Linked DNA regions of Caenorhabditis elegans. The protein of the gene in region 2 purifies or fractionates together with the protein of the main gene of each other region. This does not show direct contact. Each region holds a gene or a part of one and is shown on either strand. Other genes may lie near its edges.

Region 1 (4,724 bases), on a different chromosome or scaffold from region 2:
ACTTTTGAGAAGTACAAATTTAGTTTTGAGAAGTTCATATCAGCTGTTTAATTTTTAGAAACATTTCTTCAAAAAAATCGATTTATTCAAGTTATAAAATGCTTGAGATTGCATCTTTGAACGCCCGAGTTCCTTGATGAATTTGGGCAGATGTGTTCTGGATTTGTTCAAATGAAACAGGATCTACTGAAAATAAATTGTTGAATTAGTTTGAAATATTTTTAGAAATTGTTACCTCTGTTCAAATCTGTCAAAAGACTATCCCGATTCACATCAGCAAAACAATGTCGAAAATTGATTGGAACTGCTTCCGTTATGCATTTATAGAATAAAATGGATAAAAGTGGTTCATCGAAATTGCATGATTGAAACGATCGTGATACCAATTGAACAAGGAAACTAAATGAATTCAGAATGTTTCTGGAAATATCACATTTTTAGTTATTTCAGAATTAAGTTATAATACCTGTATGGGTTCAAATTGACATGTTGCTCACACTCCATAAACTCCAAAAATGGTTGCTCACTCAAATCAATATGGACCTAAGATATATATTTTTTAATTATGTCTTTGTTTTAATAAAACAAACCATATTTGGCAGAAACAGTCTATCTAGTTGGATTCCACCTTTTGTAGCAGTCAAAACACATGCTTCAAAGACAAAAACCAATAGGAATATGTCACCGAGTGGGTCGCTCTGTAAAGTTAATTTTCATATTAGTTAGTTGAAAATTATTACCATGAAATTATTATCCAAGCTCCCAAAGTGTGCGTAAAAATGTTCGATAACTTGCATGATCAAGGGAGATCCAGTTGATATTCTTCGCATAATTTCGTATTCTTGGTGGAGAGAAATTTTCAAGTTTGTACGAGTTGTTGATCGGGAAATCTGAAATTAATTGAAAAATTTAAATTAATGTAGAGAGAAGAAGAGAATACCTAGATTTATTCTACTTACAACAGATTTTTCAAATATTGAATAAACCGTTATTTATTCAAGATTATTCCATAATCTTAGTAAATATGAGTTAAGCTCTTATTTACCCTTAAAATCTCAATTCTTTCAAATCTCTACGTACCAAATCGAAAATCGGCCTTTCAGCTGCAATACTTCTGCGAAAAGCAATAATTTGATCGATTAGTAGAATGGAACTTTGATTCATATTTCGGTAAAGAGACGTGACATTTTGTTGTGATGAAGAAGTTCTTTTGGCTTTTACGTCTGGAAATTTGAAAATTTGATATTATTTTGAATATATAAATTACCTTGAGGCATCATTCCACTGCTCACACACTTCAAAAATCTGCAGAATCTGCAGCTTCCACCTCTCTTTGTTGGATCTTTAATTCTTTTTGTTACATTTATATTTTGTTCAACTTTAGATTACCGTGTACAATACTACATTGTCTATTAGAACATGAGTATACTTTTTGATCAGAAACACTGCGTCGGAAGAATGCACCACATGCAGCACAGCTTATTGCTCCAAAATGATATCCTTCGGCTTTATCCGAGCAAATTGAGCAGATCATCTCTTGAGGTGCTGAGCTGGAATTAAATTATGAATTGAGGGTTAGAAGGTGGAGATTTTGAAAATCTATTTTAATTCTTTTTTGTGTATTTTTAAAGCAAATACCGAGTAAAATGAAGAATAGAATGTGAGAATTAGATTGAACAGATATGTTATAGAGTGAACAAAAGCAACTGGATTCAGCCGTGAGAGCCTGCCTACATGGCTAAGTTTGCAAACCGGCAGGCTTTTTGACCCATTTTAAAATTGAATTAAACCTTTTTTTCAAATGTAAATTTTTGAAACTGATGCTCTTTCCAGATTTTATTGCAATCAGCTTGTAATCAATGTCATATTGTTGGAAATATAATATCACTTTGCAAAAAAAATATCATAAAACTATTCGATATTAAAACCATCTAAACATACATATTTGTGTTATTTTTCTAATTATATTTTCATTTCTCTTTTCATCGACGCTTTTCCTTGTGGAATAACCACTGAAAATAACTAAAACTATTACAAAACTCAAACAAAATCCTAATTCCAATTTCTGATAAAAACACATAGACCTACCTGTTCCACACTACTTGACTGTCATCCATCATCCAGTAACACTGATTATCAAAGCTTGAACAGTATAGACTCATGTAAGGTCACCTCAATAACTTAGAAGCTCAAATTTGCTTTATTTTGCTCAAAGTTCGAAGTGAAATAGATAAGTCTACAAATTTTTATACTACATCTGATAATCTTGGATAACAAGGTTCAGTTGCCTCCTCCTCTTCTTATCTCCATCTGATAAGCTTTTTGGGAGGGGTTTTCAGATTGAAGATGAGTGAAGAAGGTTTTAAAATACTTTTTAAAACTGGAATGACACACAGATTTGGACCCAATACGTACCAGATGCTGATTCATACTAATGAAGTTGTCTAGTATGAAGAAGCTTTTTGGTTTAAAATGATTGCGATTATGTGACGAAACGATAAACATATGTTTTAAGAGGATAAGGCTAGAAGAAGGAAGTTAATCTATTTTTGTATGATAACAGTGTTTTGTCACCTGTTTCATGTTGAAAATATCATTAGAATGCTCAACTTATTGATGACTTCGCAATTAAAAGAGGTGCATCCGAAAATAATTCACATATTCAAATGAAAACAAAAATAATTTCTTTCCGCTAATTTTGGGATTTTCACCTCGATTCCACATGAACAAAATTTTTCAAACCCGTGGGTCTAAATTTCGAGCAAGGAAAGAGTGCGCGTTTGAATGCTACAGTAACCCGCTCCGTTGCGGAATTCTTTGATTTTTCTGTTTCTTTTTCTTTTAGAACACTTTCACAGTGAAATCAAGCAATTTATACGCGATATTAAAAAAAAAGAATATTTTTAAATAATCTTTTATGCTTTTAAAAATATGTTTAAAAACGTGAAAATATATTTACGAGAACGTGAAAAACAGAAATATGAGTTTTGGAGTAGCATTTTGCATTATTCACGTGACCTCGGTTAAAGAAGCGCTTTTGCCACGTTTCACTGTCGATTTTTAATCGAAGGGCTCACTTTAGAATCAGTTCCGGTTTTCAACCGCTTGGATATCCAGCAGCACTACTGCAAGCATGACTGGAGGTAAGTAAATCTTAATCGATATTTCTGGTTTTAATTTAATATTTGTATTCTTTCAGGAGGAGATTCAAAGCCTATTGAAAAGAAGAAGGAGGATAAGAAAGGTTTCGATACCCGAAAATTCTTGATTGATCTCGCCTCGGGAGGAACTGCTGCCGCTGTCTCCAAGACTGCTGTGGCTCCGATTGAACGTGTCAAGCTTCTTTTGCAAGTACAGGATGCTTCCCTAACTATCGCCGCCGATAAACGTTACAAAGGAATCGTCGATGTCCTCGTTCGTGTCCCGAAAGAGCAAGGATATGCTGCTCTCTGGAGAGGAAACTTGGCCAATGTCATCCGATACTTCCCAACCCAGGCGCTGAACTTCGCATTCAAGGATACATACAAAAACATTTTCCAAAAGGGATTGGACAAGAAGAAGGATTTTTGGAAGTTCTTCGCCGGGAATCTCGCTTCTGGTGGAGCTGCCGGAGCAACTTCTCTCTGCTTCGTCTACCCATTGGATTTCGCTCGTACCCGCTTGGCTGCTGACGTCGGAAAAGCTAATGAACGTGAATTCAAAGGTCTGGCTGATTGTCTCGTCAAGATTGCAAAATCGGATGGTCCAATCGGACTCTACAGGTATTTTTTCCATTTTTATAATATAAGCAAACATTAATTTTCAGAGGATTCTTTGTTTCTGTACAAGGTATCATCATCTACCGTGCCGCTTACTTCGGAATGTTCGACACTGCCAAGATGGTATTCACTGCTGATGGCAAGAAACTCAACTTCTTCGCCGCCTGGGCTATTGCTCAAGTCGTCACCGTCGGATCTGGAATCATTTCCTATCCATGGGATACTGTTCGCCGTCGCATGATGATGCAGTCTGGTCGCAAAGATGTTCTCTACAAGAATACCTTGGATTGTGCTGTCAAGATCATCAAAAACGAAGGAATGTCTGCCATGTTCAAGGGAGCTCTGTCGAATGTGTTCCGTGGAACTGGTGGAGCACTCGTTCTGGCCATCTACGATGAAATCCAGAAGTTCATTTAAAGTCTTGAATTGTTTTTGTAATTTTAGTAAAATTATTTTAATTGAAATCTTCTATTTGTTACTCAACAAACTAAACACAGCGTCTCAATCTCTTCATTCAGAAAATATTTTTCTTTAGCATTTTCAGTATCGAACATTCTCATGCAATTTAACAAGGTAACTTCAATGAATCAACTGAGTTCTAGTTAGAATCGCATCATTTTGCAAACAAAATCCTCAAGCTTCCTTTTTCTAGAGAGATCCTCTTATCTCCTCTTGGCCGTTTCGTCACATAGTCACAATCATTTTAAACCTAAAAGCTCTTTTTATAAATACTATTAGTGTGATTCAGCAAATTGATATGGTCTAAAGCTGTGTCTTTCCAAATTCAACATTATTTGTCTTCAAGAAAAATTGCGGTTTTTTTTCACTTCTGTAAATTTCAACTTTTCTGGAATGCTAATTCGGAACAACATATCACGGAAGATTTACTCGCGAAACCCGTATCAATAAATCACGGAAGAAAAAGAATTTCACAGAAACTCTAATAACTAATATTCACAAAAATTA
Region 2 (7,833 bases):
GAAAATTCAGGAATTAAAACTCAAACTTTTTGCATTCAATTGCATCGTGTCTCCAATCCGTGTCCGGCTCCAACACGAAAATTTCGTAGTGGCCATTAACCGCTAACTCTGCGAATTTTTTAACACTTGATCGTTGTACGTTCTCCTCGTCTACAACGATAAGATGTTTATCTTCATCGATAAATTTTCGCACTGAAATTAATTTTTATTATGTACACAAACAATGTTTAAATTAAATACCTGATCTTGTTATATTATTGGAAACATCGTTTTTCACAATAACGCCGTTTTCGGAATGGTTTACCAACTCTCGAGCTAATGTTGATTTTCCGGATCCCGTAACTCCGCGAATTAAAATAATTGTGCGATGACCTTCGACAAGGCATTTTTGAATATCCGATATCTCAGCATCGAAATTAAAACACTGTTCATGCTTTCGTGGTGACATTGTTGGCTGATCACTGAAAACTTTTTTTCATAAAACGAGTGATAGATTTTTAATAATGATTTTTCAGGCTTGCGTCGTCTATCACGTGAAATTGGGGAGAGCAAGACGCAGAGATGGAAAGAAAACTGGGTAGAAGTCACAATCCACGCACACTTCGTGAAGACATATGAATTGTGGAAAAGGACGTGTTAAAGCCCGTCCCCTTTTTCAAAATGAAAGTTATGAAAATGTGTCGAAGTTTCGACACATTTTTTTTTCGCGAAACAATGTTTTAATTATGAATAAAGAAGGAATCTGGGCGCAATATATACAAAGCCGGTTATTAGACACCAGAGCTTTATTGTTGCTTTCATTTTCTACCGATGGGTCTAAAATACAGGAAAAAGGAAAATAAAACATAAAAAAACCATTTCAAAATCATAAAGTTTACACTTTTAAATTCAAAAAATAAACAAAAATGTGTTTCTGTGCAAACACTCGACGGCTTATGGTACCAATGCACCTGATTTGACGACGATTGATATTCCCGGCAATTCGAATTGCAAAGCGGAGCAGCTTGCTCTTTGTTTGCTTCATTTAAATAATATTTTATAACTCTTCACTTTTTCTAACAATTACTTTTTATAAAACATTAAAGTTCCGATAAACATTTACAGCTGTCACTCAATTAACCTATAACAATCCTGGATGGTGAGAGACTAGTATTTTAAAACATTTTTAATTGAATATATTATTCCAGGACGTTGGAATTGCGAGTACATCTAACACAAACGATGTGGAGTTTGACGATGGTATATATTATTGATTAACATTCACATGATAATGGTTTTCTTTCAGATTTCATCCGACATGCTCGTCACATGCCGATCAATAAATTAATTGAAGAGCTGGCAATGTTGGAACACGGTAAACCAGCTGTCAAGATTATCTTTTATTGATTTTATTTTAATTATTAAATTTAAATGTTTCAGACAATCATCCACTTTTACATACTGCTCGCCGGAACTTCGATAAAGATAGAAAAGTCCAGAAGGATCGAATTGAGTGCCATCGCGCGAGAGCCGAACTAAAAGGTATCTTTTGAATTGTTGAAAACTTTGAAAAGCTCAAAATACAAATTCTTTAGCAAAAAATGATTTCAATACAAGAAGTGCCGCAGATCAAGCAGAATGCACATTGCGGTTAACGGAATTGCTAGACGAATTCACGAAAAGGAGTGATGAAATGGACAAAACAGTTTTGCATGAATACGGAGTCATCGATATTCATAAACAACAGTCAGCTCCGCCTGTGTTCGAGTCCAACAAGAAAACTCTGCGAGGACGTGGAGGAGGACAGCTTGTTGAGCCAGTCACTTACTTCAATTCAAATCAGAATACTCGAATACCTGAATTCAAGCTGAATTTGTCTTTCGAAAATCCGAGAATTCGACAAGAGTTGGATATTATTATGAATCGGCCGAATTCGCGTCGAATCATTGTCTGTTCGGTATCGATTCAGAAACCGAAACTTGTGATCGATAACAAGTCATTCAAACACGGCGAAGATGTCTATGCGTATAACAGAATATTTGGAGAAATGCTCGCAAAACTCGAAATTGTCACCGATAAAATGATTAACTTGAAAGGGGCTAATGTAAGTTATCTGATGTTTCTACAATTAAAAAAATTGTTTTTTTTTCCAAATTAATTTTCGAAGATTAACGAAAAACGATTAAAAATCAATAAAACGCAATAAAGAGGGCTTGGCTTTCTTTTTAATTTAAATTATAATTTTTCTGATTGTTGTATGAAGCTACAAAATGTACTGTTTTTGTATTTGAATATTGTATTACAGGGTTGGGATTCTCGGCAAATATCAGCGACAGTGGAAGATTTAGAAGAAGGACGTGTGACAATCACTAAGCAAAGAGGAAAGGATAAAGGATTGTGATATTTCACTGTTTTACTCATTCGCTTTTTAAATAAGAACTATATGCCGATTTGCCGATATATTTTTGTTTATTAGGCCTCTCACATTCCTGTACAATGTTTCTACCAAATAAACTGCATTTTTATCTGAAAATTCGAATTTATTTTTGTCTACTTTTTACTCGTTGCATTCGAGATCAGCATATCTTCCGGTCTATTTATATTCAACGATTTTTATAAATTAGTACTCCTTCATGTTTAATTTCATTTTATCTGTAAGCTTTACTGTATTTTTTTAAAATCTTTCTTGCTTCTATCTGATTATACAATGTTCTTTACTCATTTTCAAGGTATTTTTATGCCTCACAATTTATGCACATTTCGGGCTTGGAGATTTATCCTCTATATTACATGCCTGTTTTTTTAAAGTGTATATAATGTTTAACAAATAATTTTTTATCAATGCTATTGTATATTCTCCAGCTAACCGTTGTTTCGAAAACATCACCTAGCATTTTAAAATTCACAAAATCTTGCTTCCTTATAATCAAGAAGATTTTTCAGATGCTCTGCGAAATCGAATGCCGCGCTTTGAGCACGGCACACACGAGGCTCATCCACGACTTTGAACCACGTGACGCATTGACTTATTTAGAAGGCAAAAACATTTTCACAGAAGATCATTCTGAACTTATCAGTAAAATGTCAACTCGCCTCGAGAGGATCGCCAATTTTCTTCGAATCTATCGACGTCAAGCTTCTGAACTTGGACCACTCATCGACTTTTTCAACTACAACAATCAAAGTCACCTTGCTGATTTCCTCGAAGACTACATCGATTTTGCGATAAATGAGCCAGATCTACTTCGTCCAGTAGTGATTGCTCCACAATTTTCCCGACAAATGCTCGATAGGAAACTATTGCTTGGGAATGTTCCAAAACAAATGACATGCTATATTCGAGAGTATCACGTGGATCGAGTGATCAAAAAGCTCGACGAGATGTGTGATTTAGGTGAGAAAACTGGAAGCTCTCGTGTTTATTATAATCTTGCTTAAACTTCAGACTCCTTTTTTCTGTTTCTACACGGCCGAGCTGGATCCGGAAAATCAGTAATTGCATCACAAGCTCTTTCGAAATCTGACCAACTTATTGGAATGTGAGTGGTATTATCTGAATCCTACGGATCTTCATTCTATTACAGAAATTATGATTCAATCGTTTGGCTCAAAGATAGTGGAACAGCTCCAAAATCTACATTCGATTTATTTACGGATATTTTGCTGATGCTAAAGTGAGTGAATAGAGTGCATGTAACATTCAGCATGATTTTGAAATTATGAAAATTTGACCTGGTTAGCTTTTAATTTGATATTTCGTGACGCTTGCATGTTTTGTGTGTTTGAAGACGAGCCCGTGTTGTGAGCGACACGGATGACTCGCATTCGATCACCGACTTCATTAACCGTGTTCTTTCAAGAAGCGAAGACGATCTTCTCAATTTCCCATCGGTGGAGCATGTCACGTCAGTTGTACTCAAAAGGATGGTAAGTTGCTTGCCGATTCTGGTACAATATCTTAAATTATTGGTTTTTAGATCTGCAACGCACTCATTGATCGTCCAAATACTTTATTCGTATTTGATGACGTAGTTCAAGAAGAAACAATTCGTTGGGCTCAGGAGCTACGTCTTCGATGTCTTGTAACTACTCGTGACGTGGAAATATCAAATGCTGCTTCTCAAACATGCGAATTCATTGAAGTGACATCATTGGAAATCGATGAATGTTATGATTTTCTAGAAGCTTATGGAATGCCGATGCCTGTTGGAGAAAAAGAAGAAGATGTGCTTAATAAAACAATCGAACTAAGCAGTGGAAATCCAGCAACGCTTATGATGTTTTTCAAGTCTTGTGAACCGAAAACATTTGAAAAGTGAGTGGGACATACCAATTTGAGACTTTTAAAATAATTTATTCTACAATAAAAGTTAATCAAAAAGTTTCATAGCTGATTGTCTTTAAATTTTACGAATTGAGGATCAAAATCAAGAATTAGGATCCTGGCACGAGAGAAAACTGTGTAGCTACCGTACCCGAGAGATTTTCTTGATATTTGCCATCGATTTAATTTTTTAAGAAAATTATCGTTTTACATAATTGAACAAGAGATACACGGTCTCGACCCGACGGAAATTTTTTAAATGAAAGCGAGTATGAGCCTGTTTTCATTATTTTTCGATTTTCTCTTGTTGTTTCTTTTTATTTAAAGCCTTTTATTTTGAAACAAGTCTAAAAATATTAAAAACTGAATAAAATATTTAAAAAAAATCAAGTAAAATAGAAAAACAGCAAGGCTGGAGACTACTGTACTTCTTAAATCCGCATACTCTTTTTATTTAATCATTTTCCGGAATGTCGAAACGAAATAATACATTTTTAGTCCAAAATCGCTAGGTATATTCTTAAAATTATCAAACATTTTGCATTCAGAATGGCACAGCTTAATAACAAATTGGAAAGTCGAGGATTAGTCGGTGTTGAATGTATCACCCCTTACTCGTACAAGTCACTCGCAATGGCTCTTCAAAGATGTGTTGAAGTTTTGTCAGATGAGGATCGAAGTGCTCTTGCTTTCGCAGTTGTGATGCCTCCTGGAGTTGATATACCCGTCAAGCTATGGTCATGTGTTATTCCAGTTGATATTTGTTCAAATGAAGAAGAACAATTGGATGATGAAGTTGCGGATCGGTTGAAAAGACTCAGCAAGTATGAGTCTTGAAATTTGAAGATTTAAATTAACACTTAAAATTTCAGACGTGGAGCTCTTCTCAGTGGAAAACGAATGCCCGTTTTGACATTCAAAATTGATCATATTATCCATATGTTCTTGAAACACGTCGTTGATGCACAAACTATCGCCGTATGCTGAAAATGTCTCAACTTTCAATTAAATTTTAAATTTTCAGAATGGAATCTCAATTCTCGAGCAGCGTCTTCTTGAAATAGGAAACAATAATGTATCAGTACCGGAGCGACATATACCATCACATTTCCAAAAATTCCGTCGTTCATCAGCCAGTGAGATGTATCCAAAAACTACAGAAGAAACTGTGATCCGTCCTGAAGACTTCCCAAAGTTCATGCAATTGCACCAGAAATTCTATGACTCCCTCAAAAATTTTGCATGCTGTTAAAACCTATCGTGTACAATATTGCCTGTATATTCCCCTCGAAATACGTTTATACTTTTTCGCACGAGTTTTCTCATTTTTTCATTTGTACTTGTTTTATTTCTCTCCAAAATTTCAGATCTATCCCAAATGTTCTTAAATTTAATGTTTTCTACAGATACTCAACACATCTTGTTTCATCTCATCCTTGCTTTTTTTTTTCAAATATATTCAGTTTCTTTTATAATTTTAATTAATCGAATTAATACATTCACGTAAAGAATTTCGTGGACTATTATTTTATCGCATCCAAATGATTTATTCCCTATTGTTCGAAACTTCCAAATTGATCATTTTTAAACACGCCTCATTAAATTGAAAGTCGTACTTTTAGTCTCGAACATGAAGTAAGTTATTTTCTGTGTTCTAAATTCAAAGTGCATTCCAAAAGGACATTTGATGAGTTTTCACGAAAACCGTAATTTTTACAATTTCCTTTCAGTTTTGAAGATGTTCGATTTCTTTCCTCTGTTGGCGTCATTACTACATTTGCTTTGCTGCTTCACTTTATCGAGATTCTTGCCATCAATGGAGTTCCATCTAGACCGATAGCAGTCTTCATATCATTATCCCTGTATATTGTACTGTTTCAGTATTTTAACTTATCGATTACGTACTATTTTCAGTGGTTCACTGTTTTCGGTCAATGGGTGACACGTGCTCGACGAGCAATTTTCAACGAACGCAATCTCCTAGTCACTTATCAACCAAGAGCCCTCACCCATGGACATCTCTTTGTGGTATTTGCATGATTCAACGAAGTTTTAGTCTTAAGATTCATGATTTCAGCCAGATCCGCCGACGCCTTGTCGTCTGTCCATTACACCATGTGAATCGGGAAGTGACACGGAGTTCAAGAATGCACGGGATGCTCATTACAAAGATGAATTTCATAGAGCGATTAAAATGGCAAACGAACGACTAGTAATTCGACAAGAGGTTCAAATATTATTTATTTACATTTTTAATACTGGAAATGCTTTCAGAGTACCCAAATCATGAGAATGGAATTCAATACTGATACAAGCTCGCCACCAACATCTCCGGACAAGTCAGAAAAATCACCCGAATTCTTCTAAGATTGACTTCAATAAAATTATTATTTTTCGTTTTGTTGTTAGATATACCATTTTAAACAGTTTCGGTCTGAAAATATCGGAATGTTGGTCTTCTTCTTTCATTCTTATTTACTATTTCAGGCGAGAAATCATGCACCAAAATAACGGAGATTATCGGGTAAATAATAATAAATGTTTACTAAAAGCTACAGTACTTTTGCATCCTTCAAGGGAGGTGCATTCATGCGGAAGAGTCTCGCAGCGAAAACGCGATAGCGCTTACTGTAGAATTTCAGTTTGGAAGATTCGAGTTTTTTGGGCCTCCATTTTTCCTTCTTTTATTGAATTTTCTCAGTTTCTTCGGCAAGGTTCATTAAGTACAGTTAGCCATCAATTTTTCTATTATTATGTTCATTCTGAATGAATGCACACGCTTTCGAAAAGAGATAAGAACATTTATTTCAATTACTCTGCAGGAAGGTAGAATCAATGCAAGTGAAAGCGCGCGAAACATGTGTTTTCAAAATCTATGACGAAATCTCTATGTTCTAGGTGTGGAAACCCGCAGTTTCTTTTAAACAAAAGTTAATATTGTTGTTTTATTAACACCCCCTTTGAAATTTAACTCGGTCTACCCATTTTCCTACACGACTTTGCTTCTTTTTGTTAATTTTTCTGATTTTTTAGCATTCAAGAGAGCCAGTTAACATTTTTAAAACTATTTGGTATCTATAGTTTTTTCCAAACAAATATTCTCATCGTGTAAAAAATTTTCTCATTGAATTCTAAAGCTTTGATGTTTTTCAGGTCAGAGGATCTCGTCCATCGAGAAGTTCTGAGCACGCCGGCCCTTCTCTCCACTGCAAGAAGCCCGAAGGTTCCATTAGAGATACTCTTCGACTGTCTGGCAGCTTCAAAATCTACAAAGAGCCTATGCCGGAACTGGTATGTGACATACACTTGGAAAAGCTTGCGGAAAACATCCAAAAGTATTCGAAAATCGAAGAAAGGAAATACAGAGAAAACGATATGCATGTGAATGACGATTCACATAGTTCCGATAGTAGACCCACATCGGATAATGAAGTTAGCTCGAGCTCTGACAGAAATAACGATGAACCAAGTGTGCGGAGAAAGAGAAAATCCGTCGAGAATATGTGTCATGAACGAGAGCACCACGGGGA
Region 3 (5,121 bases), on a different chromosome or scaffold from region 2:
TGCGGAGCAAGCCCAGCAGAACGTGCGGCAGGCTGTTGTGCTGCGTCGGAAGAACCGTAAATGGAAGATCGTTACGTGCATCGCGCTGATCGTGCTCCTGCTCGTTGTCGTCTACCTTCTCTCCCATTTCCTCGGTGCAATCATCCCGGGTTGGAAATAATGCTATTTTAATTCCTTCGGGTCTATTTTTTGTGATTTTTTTTCGATTATTTTTCCAAGTTTCTACAGTATTTATACGAATAAACGTTTTTCTGCCAATATCGGAACAGTTTTGGCTCACAAGCTCAATTTCAGAGCTAAATTGATGGAAACCCTAATTTTGACTAACTGGTAATTAAATAAAATTGAGAAATAGTCTAGATCGTAGGTTATTTTAAATATCAAATAAGTACATTGTTTTTCCTCATTGGTTTCCTCATTGTTCAGAGAGACCAAAAATGACCGTAGTTCATTGATTTTTTCATGAAAAGAGTTTCTCTTTTTGAGTAACAAAACGATTTCAATTAAAATAATTTTACTAAATAAAAATACAAAAACAATTGAAGATCATTAAATGAACTTTTGGATTTCATCGTAGATGGCAAGAACGAGTGCTCCACCAGTTCCACGGAATACATTTGACAGGGCTCCCTTGAACATGGCGGACATTCCTTCGTTTTTGATGATCTTGACGGCACAATCCAAAGTATTCTTGTAGAGAACATCTTTGCGACCAGACTGCATCATCATGCGACGACGAACAGTATCCCATGGATAGGAGAGGATTCCAGATCCAACAGTAACCACTTGAGCAATAGCCCAGGCAGCGAAGAAGTTGAGTTTCTTGCCATCAGCAGTGAACACCATCTTGGCAGTGTCGAACATTCCGAAGTAAGCGGCGCGGTAGATGATGATACCTTGTACCGAGACAAAGAAACCTCTGAAAAAATAATAATTTTTTAAATTTTCTAAATAGAAAAAATACCTGTAGAGTCCGATTGGTCCATCCGACTTTGCGATCTTGACGAGACAATCGGCCAGGCCTTTGAATTCACGTTCATTAGCTTTTCCGACATCAGCAGCCAAACGGGTACGAGCAAAATCCAATGGGTAGACAAAACAGAGCGAAGTGGCTCCAGCTGCTCCACCAGAAGCTAGATTTCCGGCGAAGAACTTCCAGAAATCCTTCTTCTTATCCAATCCCTTTTGGAAAATGTTTTTGTAAGTATCCTTGAAAGCGAAGTTCAGCGCCTGGGTCGGGAAGTATCGGATGACGTTAGCCAAGTTTCCTCTCCAGAGAGCAGCATATCCTTGCTCCTTTGGGACACGAACGAGGACATCGACGATTCCTTTGTAACGTTTATCGGCAGCAATGGTGAGGGAAGCATCCTGTACTTGCAACAGAAGCTTGACACGTTCAATCGGAGCAACAGCAGTCTTGGAAACAGCGGCAGCAGTTCCTCCCGAGGCCAGATCAATCAAGAATTTTCGAGTATCGAAACCTTTCTTGTCCTCCTTCTTCTTATCGATAGGCTTTGAATCTCCACCTGGAATAATCTTGAATTAACACCAGAAATATATAATTTCCTGAATAGAAATAGATGCACTTACCTCCAGACATGCTTGCAGTAGTGCTGCTGGATAACCAAGCGGTTGAAAACCGGAACTGATTATAAAGTGAGTTCTTCGGTGAATAATCGACAGTGAAACGTGGCAGACGCATATATTCGACCGAGGTCACGTGGAAAATTTGAATGGCACTTCAAAACTCATCTTTCTTTTTCTTCTTTTTTCACCGATTTTCCACAGTTTATGTAAAACTATTTTGCTCCACAAACACACAATGCTTTCTCCAAATCCTACGAAAACCACCTAAAAATTCTAGGAATTTCATCAGCTCGCTCTCTCCGCCTCAAAGCCCAACTATTTCTGCTATACAAGATCCTCATAGGCTCAGCGCACTTCCCACAAAGCAGTGACTTTGTTACGCTTTCTAGCTCGTCTCGTCGTCCAATGTTCCTTAAAATTAAAAATCTTAAATGTCGTAGCTTTTTCTCCCGTGCCAATATGGAACAGCATTGTACGAAACTCTAGTTTTTTTCCTATCCCCATCACAATTCCTTTCCCTTATTGATTGTCAAATACCTAAATTCTGATCTCTACCCCTTTCACTTAAGCTCGTGCTCTGTCGGGCCGAGTTTATTTTAACCTATTCATCGTGTAAATATCATAACCGGTTATGTGTTTTTTCTTTTCCATTTTTCCATGATGAATAAATTATCTTTTGATGAGTATAGGAAACTTAAATTAATATTTGATATCAACATTGTTTGAAACAAATTAATGATTTTAATACATTTATATACAAAGAAAATACATCATCATGAACGTTTTCCAAAGATTCTTTTATGTTTTGGAGGTAAATGGTTTTCCAAGATAACTCCTTTTGTTTCTGGTAGGAATAAAGATAAAACAATGAAATCATAAAGTTGGCAGGAGAATAGTACTGCGTAGGGAATCCATTCGGCATAGTCACTCTGAATTTCGAGGCTTATTTTTAGATGAGTATACAAAATGCTTACCAAATAAAACAATTGTGGTGAGAACATGCTTCCAATTCTGCTCATGGTTGAAACAGCGGAAACTGCTAAGTTTCTGACGGCAGTTGGATAAAGCTCATTAACCATCATATATTTGGCAATGAAAAGTTGTGAGCACATGGAAACAGCAGCCACAGTTCCGATTGCAATTAATTGTCCATTATATCCAAAATAGAGATAAACGGCAATCATGAGAAGCGCGAAAAGTGTACATATCATTGCAATTTGGTTGATCATTTTTCTTCCAAACCATGGAAGTTTGTAGTCAGCTATGCTCACAGCAATGTTTATAATCCAGCGAGAAGCCTAGAATTGATAAGGTAAATAGGAAATCTGTATAGGTACTCTTACCCCCATAATTGCAAGATTCCAGTACAAAGATCCAGATAGCTTTTCCATGTTGTACATCAATGAATATACAATAAATGTTGTACATGTTCTGTAATAAAAAATAAAACCAGAAATATATATTTTTCAAACTCACATTCCAGTAATAAAAGTTAGGGATTGTGCAATCATTTTCCATGTGCAGAACAAATGAATAAATGTGTACTTCTTCGCTTTTTTCGAGCTTCTTGCGTGTTTTTCAGCTTCAACATGAAGCACTTCATCGAGCTGTTTTTCAAACGTCTCATCGTATAATTTATCGGTCTTTCGAATTCTAATAAGTGATTTACGAGCTTCTTCAATTCGTCCTTTTTGAATGAGCCAACGTGGAGACTCTTCAAGAATTCTGAAATTTTACGATAGGAGCTTTGAAATATAACAAGTATCGGTAAAACTTACAAACAAGCTAAAAATGTTGCAATAGAAGAAGCTGCAATAACAACGGACATTGTTCTCCAATCTTGACAAAGCCATGCAACGAATGGGAATAGAATTAGATTTGGAGACCATGTGATTGAGTTTTGAATCCACATACGATCCTTGCGTGGAATATTTTCGACCATAAAAACCATTTGAACACTTAAAAGTTTAATTCATAGTTATTTTTGTTCTGAAAAATGAATAAAGGAACTTACACAGTAACCCCTCCTGTGAAAACTCCAGCCAAAGTTCTCCAAACCATAAAATAAAACAAATCAGGAGAATACGCAGTGATCCAATTAAATAGTCCATTTCCCAATGTAGAAATAAGTAAAGCTTTACGTCTTCCAAATGTGTCTGAAACTTGTCCAAAAATGGCTGCTCCAACAAGGACACCGAACGTTTGAACTGTGATCGTATTCTTTACTTTTTTAGCATCTTCGCATATATAATTGAACTGAATTAAATTGTTCGTTTGAGTGTATAATCGGTTGCCTTCACTATTCATATCTAATTCCTTACTTTACTGAGATTTTTATTTTATACCTACCTCTACTTGAACTGATTTAAACTGATATCTAAGATCAGGTTCACATAGATTGGTCTCATTCCGAAATGCTGCCAATTCGTGACATCCGTTTAGCGGTGTTCCTCCACATCCGATGACAGCAGGATTTGCACCTAAAATTGATAGTTTTATGATTGATTGTCTTATAGGAACTTCGAACGTTTTGATAAGAACTCTTTTTGTAGATGAAATAAACAAAAACTCGTTGTTTACTCTTTTAAATTTTTCTAAATGTTGTATTATCAGTGAGGATTCAGTCAAATTACACTTTTTATCGTCTAAAACAACCGAATACAATTTTCAGATTTTTCAAAAGTTTTATCCATAATTTAGTAAATTGCCAAATTTTGTGAAAAATTTGGGGTATTTGAGTAATTTCAGGAACTCGTAGAAAACTTTTCTTTGGTCAATTTACTAAATTATGAGAGGGCACTGGATTTTCGCCAAAATTTTATTGTAAATAAAGCGTTTCAAAAAGCTTTCGAAAAGTTAGTTTTATTATGATTTTTATCGTTTTAGCACTAGTAGAGAACACTGTAGCCGCAAAAACCAGGCGAGATCAATAGACCCACCCTTTTAATTACTTTCTCGTGTTACCTTGGACTATCATTTCACGTGAATCTGACGGTTTTCATACTCAATCTGTCATAATCACTTCTTCTGACCTGACAGGTGGACTGTTTACCATTAGACATGAAATAAATACAAAGATGATTCTAATAACTAGTTTTCGGATCATTAGTTTGAAAATTGCAAAGGGTTCAAGAAAGATGAACATTTTTTGATGAAGCAACTCCATTTAGAGCCTATCCGCTTGCCTATAGGCATGAAGAAACCCGCCATGAGAAATATCTACGCATAGCTTGCCGATCAAACTACCCATACATTATTTTAAAACTCAAACAACCGAGCAATCTAAATCATGAATACCTGCAAAAACCATGACTTTACTGCTTGCAGTTGCTGTGAAAGCTGTCAATTCTGCCATGAGCAGTACCAGCATACAGTACCACCGAAGGGTGATAAAATCATCCAAACTTCCAACTTTTTTCTCTTCAACCATCATTTCCAATGATTTTTTGGGTACAATTGGAGTCTGAACAACTGCTTCCACATCCTCTGGTTTCAAAAGTGTTTCCTGTTCCAAGCTGGAGCTAGACGACGATG

Evidence for each region.
Region 1: the proteins of ced-4 (region 2) and ant-1.3 purify together in Caenorhabditis elegans (affinity purification with mass spectrometry, with the first as the bait; one study listed by BioGRID). This does not show direct contact.
Region 3: the proteins of ced-4 (region 2) and ant-1.4 purify together in Caenorhabditis elegans (affinity purification with mass spectrometry, with the first as the bait; one study listed by BioGRID). This does not show direct contact.

Annotation. Positions count from the first base shown.
Region 1 is NC_003282.8:9,707,668-9,712,391, reverse strand, and holds ant-1.3 (ADP/ATP translocase), read left to right. Parts: upstream 1-3,086; 5' UTR 3,087-3,133; coding exon 3,134-3,143; intron 3,144-3,199; coding exon 3,200-3,761; intron 3,762-3,805; coding exon 3,806-4,175; 3' UTR 4,176-4,224; downstream 4,225-4,724. Other genes in the region: nhr-38 (Nuclear receptor domain-containing protein), read right to left, coding at 92-186, 236-420, 467-543, 591-698, 741-890, 1,081-1,223, 1,268-1,342, 1,390-1,550 and 1 more.
Region 2 is NC_003281.10:4,849,403-4,857,235, forward strand, and holds ced-4 (Cell death protein 4), read left to right. Parts: upstream 1-2,922; coding exon 2,923-3,373; intron 3,374-3,424; coding exon 3,425-3,518; intron 3,519-3,563; coding exon 3,564-3,651; coding exon of another isoform or gene 3,652-3,653; intron 3,654-3,771; coding exon 3,772-3,906; intron 3,907-3,956; coding exon 3,957-4,294; intron 4,295-4,851; coding exon 4,852-5,127; intron 5,128-5,175; coding exon 5,176-5,281; intron 5,282-5,327; coding exon 5,328-5,555; downstream 5,556-7,833. Other genes in the region: nonu-1 (Smr domain-containing protein), read right to left, coding at 27-192, 241-448; F26A1.1 (Non-structural maintenance of chromosomes element 4), read left to right, coding at 1,136-1,138, 1,188-1,239, 1,286-1,354, 1,420-1,521, 1,575-2,083, 2,285-2,380; C35D10.8 (PH domain-containing protein), read left to right, coding at 5,934-5,938, 6,034-6,172, 6,218-6,331, 6,381-6,530, 6,578-6,670; C35D10.7 (ULP_PROTEASE domain-containing protein), read left to right, coding at 6,801-6,827, 7,457-7,833. UniProt on the Caenorhabditis elegans protein: Component of the egl-1, ced-9, ced-4 and ced-3 apoptotic signaling cascade required for the initiation of programmed cell death in cells fated to die during embryonic and postembryonic development.
Region 3 is NC_003282.8:8,458,678-8,463,798, forward strand, and holds ant-1.4 (ADP/ATP translocase), read right to left. Parts: upstream 1,632-5,121; 5' UTR 1,601-1,631; coding exon 1,591-1,600; intron 1,527-1,590; coding exon 965-1,526; intron 920-964; coding exon 550-919; 3' UTR 501-549; downstream 1-500. Other genes in the region: syx-4 (Putative syntaxin-4), read left to right, coding at 1-160; str-176 (Major facilitator superfamily (MFS) profile domain-containing protein), read right to left, coding at 2,361-2,516, 2,562-2,885, 2,931-3,018, 3,064-3,312, 3,366-3,545, 3,602-3,843, 3,937-4,067, 4,885-5,121.